Macaca fascicularis: one gene and its partners. The protein of the gene in region 1 interacts with the protein of each later gene in a pairwise test. Links are inferred from orthologs where the notes say so. Each region holds a gene or a part of one and is shown on either strand. Other genes may lie near its edges.

The links.
Region 2: the proteins of SNRPN (region 1) and CTBP1 interact in a two-hybrid assay, tested with the Homo sapiens proteins (2 studies listed by BioGRID and IntAct). The link is inferred for Macaca fascicularis from reciprocal best matches to the Homo sapiens genes SNRPN and CTBP1.
Region 3: the proteins of SNRPN (region 1) and SNRPD3 interact in a two-hybrid assay, tested with the Homo sapiens proteins (2 studies listed by BioGRID, with this or other methods). The link is inferred for Macaca fascicularis from reciprocal best matches to the Homo sapiens genes SNRPN and SNRPD3.

Annotation. Positions count from the first base shown.
Region 1 is NC_088381.1:4,135,592-4,139,102, forward strand, and holds part of SNRPN (small nuclear ribonucleoprotein-associated protein N), read right to left. Parts: 5' UTR 3,508-3,511; coding exon 3,505-3,507; intron 2,649-3,504; coding exon 2,497-2,648; intron 1,693-2,496; coding exon 1,581-1,692; intron 1,129-1,580; coding exon 976-1,128; intron 226-975; coding exon 87-225; intron 1-86.
Region 2 is NC_088379.1:1,343,343-1,347,549, reverse strand, and holds the start of CTBP1 (C-terminal-binding protein 1), read left to right. Parts: upstream 1-1,406; 5' UTR 1,407-1,581; coding exon 1,582-1,621; intron 1,622-1,806; exon of another isoform or gene 1,807-2,941; intron 2,942-4,207. UniProt on the Homo sapiens protein: Corepressor targeting diverse transcription regulators such as GLIS2 or BCL6. Has dehydrogenase activity. Involved in controlling the equilibrium between tubular and stacked structures in the Golgi complex.
Region 3 is NC_088384.1:28,879,724-28,883,838, forward strand, and holds the start of SNRPD3 (small nuclear ribonucleoprotein Sm D3), read right to left. Parts: upstream 2,806-4,115; 5' UTR 2,717-2,805; intron 1,125-2,716; 5' UTR 1,107-1,124; coding exon 981-1,106; intron 1-980. Other genes in the region: protein GUCD1, read left to right, coding at 3,801-3,843. UniProt on the Homo sapiens protein: Plays a role in pre-mRNA splicing as a core component of the spliceosomal U1, U2, U4 and U5 small nuclear ribonucleoproteins (snRNPs), the building blocks of the spliceosome.

The DNA of each region.
Region 1 (3,511 bases):
AGTTAGGCCCTCAGGCTGTGTCTTAAATCAGTAAGCTCTCTCTAGTCAGAGATTCAAATTCGTCTTAATGTTCACCAATCCCTTACCTGGAGGTGGGGTTGCTCTGCCAACAGGTGGGGGCGGAGTCCCCCGTCCTGGTGGGTACTGTGTTGGGGCTCCAGCAATGCTGGCGGTGGCAGCAACAGCAGCAGCTGCTACAGTGCCTCTTCCCTGTGGAGTCATTACCTGAGAAGGCAAGGGGAGAAACCAACAAAGTGATACATACCTTCACGTTATTCAAACACAGAAAATAAATGAGAAAAATGGCCAATTAGATACAAACAACTGTTGCAATGTTGTACTTCTCTCGTTATTCCCATGTTTTTTTTTTGAGACAGTTTCACTCTTGTCACCCAGGCTGCAATGCAATGGTGCAATCTCAGCCCACTGCAGCCTCCCACTCCCGGGTTCAAGCGGTTCTCCTGTCTCAGCCTGCTGGGTAGCTGGGATCACAGGTGCCCCCAACCAGGCCCAGCAGGTTTTTGTGCTTTTAGTAGAGACGGGGTTTTCACCATGTGGGCCAGGCTGGTCTCCAACTCCTGACCTCAAGTGATCTGCCCACTGTGGCCTCCCAAAGTGCTGGACTACAGGCATAAGCCACCGCACCTGCCTATTCCCATATTTTAAAAACTAATCTTAGTACACTGACATCCACAAAGCCCTTTGATCTTTTCAACTGAGGTATATCCAGGCATTCCGTTCACTCACCACTAGTGGCAAGTTACTCTTACCAAGAGTAACTCGGGTAATTTTAATCACCCAATGACCATTTTAAGTAGCTAGTTTTATTCCCTTCCTCCTGTATATCTGTCCGTTGGTTCCTCCTAGACCATATGCCCTTTACATAGTATGACATGTACACTCAGGTTTTTAAATCTCCTCGGCCTCTGGCTTAGTCACATTCTCCCAATATAAAACCCTCCGCTGGTTCCTCACCTGCTGGGACGGTCCCCCAACTCCTCGGACAGGGCCTGCCAATCCAGCAGGGGCCTGGGGAATTGGCACACCAGCTGGTACTCCTCTACCAGCTGCCCTACCAACCCCAGGGCCTCCAGCAGCTCCAGCAAGTGGTACCCGAGCAATGCCAGTCTGAAACAAGAAAATGTATAGCCTAAAATCAAACAATTTACAAGTTCTCAGTATTTTTATGCATCAGAGATCACTTCTCTCCACCATTTTCCCAGACATTTATCTCGTATTAGTTCTGTATCCAAATGAACAAGCAAGTATACCATGGAGGTATCTTGTGGATAAAATGCACATTATTTGTCAAATTGTGAAAACAGCTCTTTTATAAACATACCAAGCAAACATGAATCAGCAACTCCTACCCTCACCTAGGTAATGCCCAGCACACAGAATAATTCACCAAAAAACCCTTAATCCCAAATAGCATAGGCAACCAACAATTGATACTAAGTGCTTGGCACATTTGACAATCCATGTTAAACTGTGTCTGTGCTGTACTGTGATTTCAGACATCTCACATAATATGATGTCCTTGCAAATTAGAGTTCTGTCCTGCTCTACATCTTCCTTACATCTTTGGGGGGTGGCCCCTCCACAGTCATGGATACCAAGTTCTCCCCACGCAGCAACACCAGACCCAAAACCCGCTTTTCTTCACGCTCTGGTTGCTTCGCATTCTTTGGCCTACAAATCAGAATTAAATTTTAGTGAGATAATTTTAGTGACCCCTAGATTACTCACTCATCAAAATATTTATACAACCTCAAGTATCAATTAAGGCAACCGATGCTAAACAGATATTAAGTTATCACTGAAAAACAAACCAAAAAAAATCTGTAAACAGTTAATATAAAAGGGTAAATAGTAAAGCTGTTTTCTGATCTAACTTTAGTCTTTTACAGAATGTTCCTTTGATGTTAACACTACAACAAGACGAATTTCTTTTGTAAAACGCCTTTTAAGGAAAACAAAGTTGAAACTTCGGTTTCCATATTAAAATGGAAATTTCTTTAAAAAATTACTTAAATAATTAAATCATAATGACAGGATGACACAACTGAAATAATGCGAACAGTAATAGGCAAAGAGAGGATAACAAATAGCAACCATATCCCAACTCCTCAACCGTGAAGAGCAATTATTATTCTCTATTTCAACCCAGATTTATTCGGTCTAAGACTGCTGCAGAAGCCAACCAATTAATTAACAATAGCATTTTTCTCAATTTTAAAAATAAATATAACTTAATATTTTGAGCACTACACTTTTATTCCCAGTAATAAATCCATGATTGTCTCACAAACTTAAAAGAGTTTATATGCAGACTCTGACCTAATTCAGAGATCAGGTCAAGAGGTGAAACAATAGACTGGCTCTACCTTAGCTTCCCTACCTACCTCAGTTACCCTTGGAAATCCCTTACTCCAGCTCTGGCCTTCCTTTCCCACTGCCTCTGCGTCCAACCCCCATTTACCCAAATCAGCTTACTTGATCTTTCTGAACTCATCACAATCACAGAGGATCAAATTCATATGCTTGTCAAAAGCCTTAAAGGTGCCAATGAAGATTCGGCCATCTTGTAGGATACATCTCATTCTATAGTCAATGTGCTGCAGCATCTTGCTACTCTTGCCCACAGTCTGGAAGCAGTAAGACAAGAGTCATGTTCAGGTTGCCAACACCCTAGTCTTCTAATCTTCTGTTTCTTCTCCGCCCTTATATAATCCAAGCCTGGTTTCCTTAACTAAACAAATATTCTCTCCTACTTTTTCACCAACATTCTTCCATATTTAGTATGAGTCTCTGGAGGACCACGAAGGATTATGAAGTATTTTTTCACATCTCAAGAACCAATTTTCACCTCCTTAGGGGTGATTATTCTTCTCTTAGACAATGCATGCTGTAAACTGTCCACTCCCCTAACTAAACCAAACCACAATGATTAGGGTGTTCTCTCTCTCCAGACTGCTTTTCTCTGTACTATTAATGCCAAAACCCTTCCATTTTCAAAGTCCTCTTTATTTCTATTGTAATCTGACCTGAGAGTCCATCATCTGCAGGATAGTCCTTCACCACGGGTGGAATCATGACCAAATACTCCTGTATTTTCTCACATCATAAAACATTTCTCACGGCCAGGTACAGTGGCTCACGCCTGTCCCAGCACTTTGGGAGGCCGAGGTGGGTGGATCACTTGAGGTCAGGAGTTTGAGACCAGCCTGGCCAACACGGTGAAACCCTGTCTCTAATAAAGAGGCTGAGGCACAAGAATCTCTTGGACCCAGGGTTGTAGTGAGCCTGGGAGACAGAGCAAGACTCCGTCTGAAAAAAATAAAAAAAATCAGCTCATCTCCCGCTGATACTCAGTGCAATGAGAATCTATATCCATGGATGTATACTAACATTCAGAACCCAAAATCACTGCACATGCTGGCAAACTCTTTCTTTCAGCCCTTACATCACGTTTTCAACCCTCAGCCTTATTGTACAGCTTACCATGATT
Region 2 (4,207 bases), on another chromosome or scaffold:
CTGCACCGATGTCTGGCCTTGGAGGTTGCTGCTCATTTTTCTGGAATTTTCTTAGATCTCTGCAGGGCTGCCCCTCCCCCTACAAGGGCTCCACACGTGTTCCCTCCTTCATGACTCCCACTGGGCTTCCCTGACAGGGCCCCACCCTCCCCAAAGCTCTGGTGATACCTGCCAGGTTTCCTCCAGGCCACAGCTGGGCAGCCCGGTCTTAGAACAGAAAGTGGTACGCATGGCAGGCCCGACTGAGGGCCCAGCACTGTCAGTGGGGTCAGAGGTCTTCCCAGGCCTGGAAGGGCAGACATGGGCTTCTCAGGGCAGCCTAGGACGCGTCCTCACGAACCACAGCGAAACTAGAGCAGGTGTCTCTCGGATAGGAGTCTGCATCATTCCGTCTCCAGGCTGTGGTTTCTCAAATTATGCAACTATCTGATCATTCCAGTGTGCTCAGAGTAGCCACGCGCAGAGGCCCTTCCCACAACTCCCCACGGGGTGGATGGAAGCGTCCACTCGCGGCGCGAGGAATATCCCTGGGCCCCTCGGGAGAGTCTGCAGGGGCAGCCCCTGGGTGAGCAGGCCCGGTGCGGCCTCTCCCTGAAGGGACTTTCGGGCCCTCCCGGGTCGGGGCGTTTCCCGCAGCGGGCAGAAGCAGAGCTGGCTACAAACCCTACTCTTGTTAAAGGAGAAACGGGGTCGAGAAGGGGGTTCTCCAGCCCTGAACTTCCCGGGCCGGGAACAGCGCGCTGGGCCGGGCAGAACGCGGCCCCTCCCGGAGTCGGGGTCCCCCCCGGCTGGGGACGAACTGGGGCGGGCGCGCTTCTCCTCCCGGGGCCCCATGTGCGGCCGGCTCTTGGACGGTAAATCAGGGCTCGGGTGGGGGCGATGGGGGGAACCCGCGGCCTCGGTGCCCCTGGCCAGCCCCGGGGACAGCGGCACCGCAAGGACAAGTCTTCGGAGGCGCACGGGCCAGGCCGCGGGGCCAGAAGCGAGCGGGGGAGGGCGGCGGCTGGCGGGGCGGGAAGGGAGCGGGGCGGCCGCTGCGCGGAGGAGCGCCATTTACGTTCGGGTCCGTTCCGGGCGCTGACGTGGGCGACCCTGCCTCGGCTTCCGGGCCCGGCGCCGTCCCGCAGGGGGCCTCGGGGCGGGCGGCGCTCCTGCCAGCGGTGCTGAGCCCGGCCCGACCCTGCCCGCCTTCCTCCGGGACAGGCGGTTTAGAACGTGCGGAACACCGGGCCTCGGGCCTCCGCCGGGCTGCAGGCCCCGTGAGCTTCCCGCCAGGCTCCCGCCCCGCCCCGCAGCCGCGCCCGGCCGGGCGGGCCCTGAGCCGCCCGCGTGAGTCCGTGCGCCGCCCGCGCCGGGAACCAGGAGACCAACCGCGAGGCCCCGCCCGCGCGCGCCGCCGTGTCCCCGCCCGCGCGGTCGTCGGAGCGCGGCTCAGCGGCGCGGCGGAGGCTCGGCACGGCGGCGGCCAGGCGCAGGCGAGCGGGCGGAGCAGCGGACGGCACCGAGGCCGCCCCACGCGCCGGACTCGCGGCGGCGCAGCGCGCCGGAGTGGTCGGGGCCCGCGGCCGCTCGCGCCTCTCGATGGGCAGCTCGCACTTGCTCAACAAGGGCCTGCCGCTCGGTAAGGCCGCGCGCGCGCGCGTTTCCGGCCGCGGGCGGGGGCGGGGCGGGGCGGGGGCCGCGCGGGCGGGGGGCGCGGGGGCGGGCCGAGCGCGCGCCCGCGGGCCGCCGGCTTTGTGTGCGAGTGCGCGTGCGCGCCGTCGTCCGCGCGTGGCCGCGGTCGGGGGCGGGACCGCGGCAAGGGTCGTGCGCATGCGCGGGCCGCTGCGTGTGAGCGAGCGCCGCCGTGTGCACTCCCCGCCCGCGGCCCGCGCAGGTGACACAAAGGGGCCCGTGGGCCTCCAGGCTGCTCCACCGACCCCAGCCCCATGGGACCCGGGACGGCACCCCGAGTCCCGAGTCCCGATCCCCGGCCGCTACCCCGTCCCCGGTCACGACCCCGCGGCTGGGCCTGCGGGACCGGGGTGGGAGCTGCGCCGTGCGCAGCTACGGGTGTCCTGGGGAGCGCGCTCCCGGGCCACTCGCGGGAGCGCGCCCCCTCCCGCCCTGAGGCTGCCGGCGACCGCGGCCGCGCGCTGTGGGGGAAGGGGACGGGGCCTGGGCGCCGGGTCTGACCGTGGAGGAGGCCGCCGCCCTCAGACCGGGCCCAAAGCGCAGCCCCCGGCGGTGACGCGGGCGGTCCCCGGGGGTCTCCGCTCCCGCGAACTCCGCGAGGGCCCGGCCCGGCCCGGCGCCTCCACCTGCCTCTGCCTGTGCCGGCCCGGGTCCCGGGGCGCCTTCCTCGCCGGCTGCGGCCCCGGAAGCAGGGAGCACGGGCGGACGCCGGGCGCACGGCCATCGCCATCTTGCAGCGCCCGCATCCTGGGCCGGCCCGGGCCGCTCCGCGGAGCCTCTCTCTCCCTCGACACGGCTGCAAAGGCAGAGCCCGCGCGCTTGATCCCCGGGCCAAAGCTGGAGCGTTCTCTGGCGGCCTCCAAGGGCATCGGTGTCCAGAAGCCCGGCCGGGGCCAGAGCCCTTTTGCTGTAGTCTCCGCGATTGCCGGGACAGAATTCCCTTCCAGTGGGGAAAAGGGAAGGCGGTCGCGCCCTTCCCGGTGCCCTGAGTGGGGAGGTGAAACCCTGAGAGTTGGGGCTAGAGGGCCCGGAGCCAGGGCCGAGGCGGCGGGTGCGCAGGGTGCTCCGTGGAGCCCGAGCACCCCCAGCCAAGTCCTCTCCACCGTTTCTGTAGGAGCTCGGCAGGGAGCACAAGTCCGTCGGGAAGAAAACGGCGCTGGTGGCTGGGCCCGCGCCGCGGGCGTCCTCGCTGAGCTCCTAGCGCATGGCCTGTGCGCGTCTGTGTACCCGTCTGCGGCTTGGGGCAGGGTTGGGGCAGCACCGTGGGGTAACTATTTGCCGTTGCAGCTGAGGATGACAGCTGCGGTTTGGGGGTCTCTCGTTCTGTGTCCTGGAACTTTGTAGGGCGTGGCTCTGCCCTGGGCCTCAGCACCAGGTCTCCCCTGCCCGCCCAGGCCTGGCCACCTCCCTCTGGGGTCTGGGTTTGGCTCCTGGTTGGCACTGTCAGCTCTGCAGACGCGTTTTGCCCTCTGTGATTCTGTCGCCCATCTTTGAGCACCTGCTTCCATGCTGGCGTCCTCTGCAGAACTCTGGGAGGGACATGCAGTGGGGGCTGCATCTGCTCACTGCCCGGGGTGCCTTGTCCACCTGCCTGGCCGTTTTTGAGGTGTCTGCCATGTCCGCAGCATGTACTTCGTCCTGTCAGCCTTGACCAGGGCAGCTGTTAGTTCTGAGAGGTGGACATGTGGTTGGGAATGTCAGTGAGTAGGATCTTCCCTTTTGCACACTTGTCATTAACCTGAGAACATGGCAGTGGGGGAGGGGAGGTTTGGCCCCGGGTGCACGGGACTGTGGGCTGGTCCTGTCCGTCTGCTGAGTGGGATGGGCCTTGGCCCAGTCCTGTGGGCTTGGCGCAGAACCGACCCCAGCCACATCCTGGGGAGATTGGAGGTGCTGGCTGGTCCTGTCTGCCTCCTCCAAGGGCTGGGAGCCCCCCACTCTTTGGACGTTTGTAGTGTAAGGTTCCATTATCCAGCAGACAGCCACTGTTAACAGTCACTCTGTTAATAAGTTTTTTCTGGAGGAACCCTGGACAGAAGTAGTCACGCTCTGCAGGAAACGGGTCCCAGGCTCGAGAGGCCTAGTCTCTTCCTTTGGAGCTCAGAGGTGGCTGTTCAGCCACACCTGGCTCGCCTGGCAGTTTTTCTCCTCTGACTGTAACTAGCCCTTTCAACTTCCTGTGGCCACTGCCCCCAGAGTGTGACCTGGTCTGAGCTGATGGTGGCGTCCCTGAGCCAAGAGGCGTACGGCTGGTACCACTAGTGTTGCTGAGAACCCTTCAGGCAGCGTTCTGTGCCTGGCTGTGCCCTGGCGCTCCCCACGCAGTGCCCAAGTCAAAGGCGTGTGCCCTGTGAGGTGTTTACCCGAGTGACTCTCCTTCCAGAAGGACTTCTTGTTTTCCCCTCCACTCAGGGCTGGAGAGGGCTCCGTACGGGTGGTGCTGACGGTGCAGGCCTGGCTCAGGGCCCAGGGGTGGCCAGGAGGTGGTGGAGGCAGCAGGTGGTGTCCTCCGGGTTCTGTGGTTGAACTGCAT
Region 3 (4,115 bases), on another chromosome or scaffold:
CTAATGAGCAATCACTGCCTTGCTGAGACTTCCTCAAAACTACACTGTAGTCTAAGGTTCTTCCTGCTCAATCCTCCTTCTTTCCCCTCTCGTTTCACCAGTCAGACCAGCATCACGGACTGAAAATTTCCCTGCCTACTACTGTTTCCTTGTTCCTTTATCCTTTATTGTCATTTCCCCCAATAAATACCTTGCATAATTCTGTCTTGGCATCTACATCAAAGAACCCAAAATAATAACACTCCCGTTTTACAGATGAGAAAACTGAGTGATTAATACATCTAAGGTCATATAATTAGGAATCAAACCCACATCTCTCTCTGACTCCCAAGTCCAAGTTCTTAACCAATGGTTTAAAGAACAAAGAAAGTGTGAAGATACAACTGAAAAACAATGCTATAAAAATTCAGATGACTATGCAAAAGGCAAAGCTGCGCCATGAGAAGGACACCGTATCAAGAAACTACTCCATTATTTACTATCAGAGTGATGAGTCCTTTAATCTCATTCTCCCTATTTTATGGATGACAAGACTACCACCAAACCTGCTTACCTCACAAGGTAGTTGCAATAATCAAATGAGACTCCTCCTCCAAGAGAAAAGGGAAACAAACACAGTATGTGAGAAGATTCTCCTAACTGCAAAGCAAGTGGAGGCAAATGGATAATGGCTCTGAACCTGAAGGATTCTACTGAAGGAACTTCTCCCAAACAGGTCCCCAAATTTGGGGATGGAAAAAACAAAAAAGGCGAAGTAAAATATTCCAAATCTCCAAATGGCTTTTCTGCCTCAAGACTATGTGTTTTGTTCATGCCCACATCCCCAGAGCCTATAACAGCACCTGACTGGTATGTGTTAGGCACTCAGGAAATCATTGCTGAATGAGAACAATTTACAGAAGACCCCCAACCCACACCTTTCTGTCCTTCAAGACACAGGGCCATTCCTCCCACACAGCCTCACATGCAAAGCAGAATACCTGGCAGTTCATGTTGTCCTCTGCTTCAATGAGCTTCCCCCGATATACCTCACCGGTGTTCGTCTCACATGTCACAATGTGGCCCTCGGCCTCGTGCAGCACTTTAATTGGCACACCAATAGACATCTTGGCAGGAAGAGAGCTCTACAGTGAAAGAGACAACAGTCAGTTCATCTTTCAGAGTCTGAGAAGGCATGCGGCACACGTCATGCCTCCTTCAAGGCCTGGCACTCCATAAAACTTAGCAAAAACGCCAAAGCTGCATTTTCTATCAAAGAAAAAGAAAAAAGAAAGCTCAGCTCCTGGCTTGGAGGAAACTATCTGGCAAATATGTGCAAGATGTCGGGTGAGGAGGAATGGTGGGGTGGACAGAAGTAAAAATAGGAATGAAAAGAGAGCATCTCCCATCGACCATGTGTCCCTGCTACCCTATGTCCCTTAATCTTCAGCTAAAGGACCATTAGCGAATACTGTGTGTGTAGGGGAGGGGGATTGGAATGTTAATCTGTTGCACTGTTATTTGTCAACCCTTAATTGTAGATTATTATATTTTGAGAATCATAACACAGGCCTGAGCTGTCCAATACAGTAGCTCATGTCCACATGTAGCTATTTAAATTAAACTTAACTAAAACACAATAGAATTAAAATAAAAAACCCAGTCCCTCAATCCCAGTGGCCATATTCCAAGTGCTCAACAGCTACATGTAGCTGGTGGCTACCCTACGGAAGGAGCAGATACAGACCTAAGGACCATGCATATCTAGGAGAGGAGACTGTACTTTTAATGCAGCTCTTTAACCCTTCCCTTACTTTACCATCAAGGATATTGAGAAAATATCGAAGTGACAACGTGCTATATGCAGGAAATGCCCGTCATGGAGGAAAATAAGGGAAAGCACCTGACTTGACCTAATTAAAAGCATCAAGTAGTGAACTTTTTATTGACATGAGCGACGACTCAAAGTTGGAACCTAAGTGCACCTAAGACAGGAGAACATGAGGTTGAAAAGACAGGCTCCTTTGGTGAGGATCCCTGGCTTTCAGCCTTAGGAGCCTAGATTTTATGCTGAAGATAGTGGGGAACCACTGCAAAATTATAGGTAAAGAATGACACAATGAAAAGGTAGCAGCATTTATTTACAAAATGGATCTAACGTAAGGTTTAGAAGCAGAGAAACTTGTTAAAATTTCTGCAACAGTTAAAACTGCTGCAACAGTGTGGAAAGCATGACGGGACCACTGCCTGAAAGGGAGCTGGGGGCAGACATGCAAAGAACTTTTTAAAAAATGACCGGCTGGGCGCGATGGCTCACGCCCGTAGTCCCAACACTTTTGAAGGACGAAGCCGGTGGATCCCTTGAGCCCAGGAGTTCGAGACCAGCCAGGGTAACATGGTGAAACCGTCTCTACTTTAAAAAAAAAAAAAAAAAAAACCCTCATAGGATTTGACTTCAAGATTCAAAAAACTCATAGGAAATAACTTCAAGATTACTGCCTGGAAACTTTGAAAAACACTCACCTGGAGAGATACAGAATGTAAGAAGCATGCACATTGAGGGAGCAGCTAATGAACTTACTTCCAGGCGCTAGTGAGGCGACGCTGATGTTTGGGTGGTCCAAACTTCCCGCTTTCTTCCCTCCCCGAATCCCGCAGAGTTCATGCATTGAGTCTTTCTCCAGCCCCCGGCCCCTCACAGGCACCTCGACCTCCCCTCGCCCGTCCCCAGCCTCACCGGTTCTGGCCTACTTTTCCTTCTCTTCGGTGCACGGCGAAAGCCGCTACGGCGAAGGCGTGAATCAAGAGAATGGCGGGCCCAGCTCCCAGAATTCCACTCGTTCCCAAAATGCTGCGCGCAGGGCCCGCCTCCTTCCTTTCCCCAGTGGTGAGAGCGGTGTCGCCTCCGCTTCCTCCTCACCCCGCGTGCCGGCTGGGAAACTAAGGCACCAGTACGATAGTTCCGGCACCGGAAAAGAGGGCCGAAGACTGGGCCCGGGGACCGCCGCAAACAACGACCCTTGGGGCCGGCAAAGAGCCAGAGAGGGTGCTTGCACTTCCAAGCGCCCCACACCAAGGACAGGCTGGACGGCAAGGCGGAGACTCGGGGCCTGGGCCCTCAGACCGGGGGCAGCAGGAGGTTGGGCCAAGGGCCAGGACTTCCCCTCACAATTTAATTTTTTGATCCCAGCACCGCCAGGTAAGGGGCGCCCTGAGTGAGGCTACGTATCTCGTACGGATAAAGTTAGGTATAGAGTAGAGAGGAGGCCGGCTCAGGGTCATCCCTAAAGGCAGTTTAAGGAGAGTTGTTTGGAGCCTCCGGAATACACTGGGCCGGACCAGGGTTTACAGCTAAGACTGGCAAAGGAGCGGGCCCCGGCAGAGGCGGGGCTTGCTGAAGGGAGGAGCCTCTGTTCACGAAATGCACGGGCTTTGGGGCGGGGCTCAAGGAAAGGGGCGGAGCTTCCGGGTCCGCGTCTTGTTGGGCTTCGCGGCTGCGCGAGGATTGGACGAGAGGGCTGGGTCACTCGACGCTGAGGCGGTGAATGGCCGGGGCAGATTTAAATCGGGAGGCTGGGGGCCTCTAGGATCAAAGTTTGGGGCGGGGCTTAGAGAAAGGGCGGGGCCTCCAGATTCGAGACCTGGAAGGGCTGGGGCGGGGCTTGGGGCGGCCCAGCCACCGCCTCCGGTTCTCCCCTCCGCAGCGGCGGCGGTGGCGGAGAAGGAACTCGACACGCACCGACCGCCCTACCGCCCCAGCCGAAGCGGAAGCTGTAGCCCGCTCTGGGCCGGGGCCATGGGCGCCCCGCGCCGCCCGGGTCATGAGGACGGAGGCGGAGGCAGCGGGGCCGCCGCTCGAGCCCGGTCAGTGCCTCTCTGTGGGCCCAGTCTTCACCCTAGGAACGAAGGGGACCCCGCCCTAGCGCGGGGCAGGGTCCAGCCGCGCGACCTTGGGCCGACTCCCGCCTCACCCCCACACCCGCCTCGCTCCAGTCAGTGGGGGTTTCCTGACACTGGCAGGATTGCGACCCTTGTCCGCATGGTGGGAGGGTCCGGGTAGAAGGGGCGCCACCTTCCCCAGAAGCGAAAAGTCCTACTGGAGCCGCCTTGGGAGCTCTCGTGCCTTGGGGAACCGT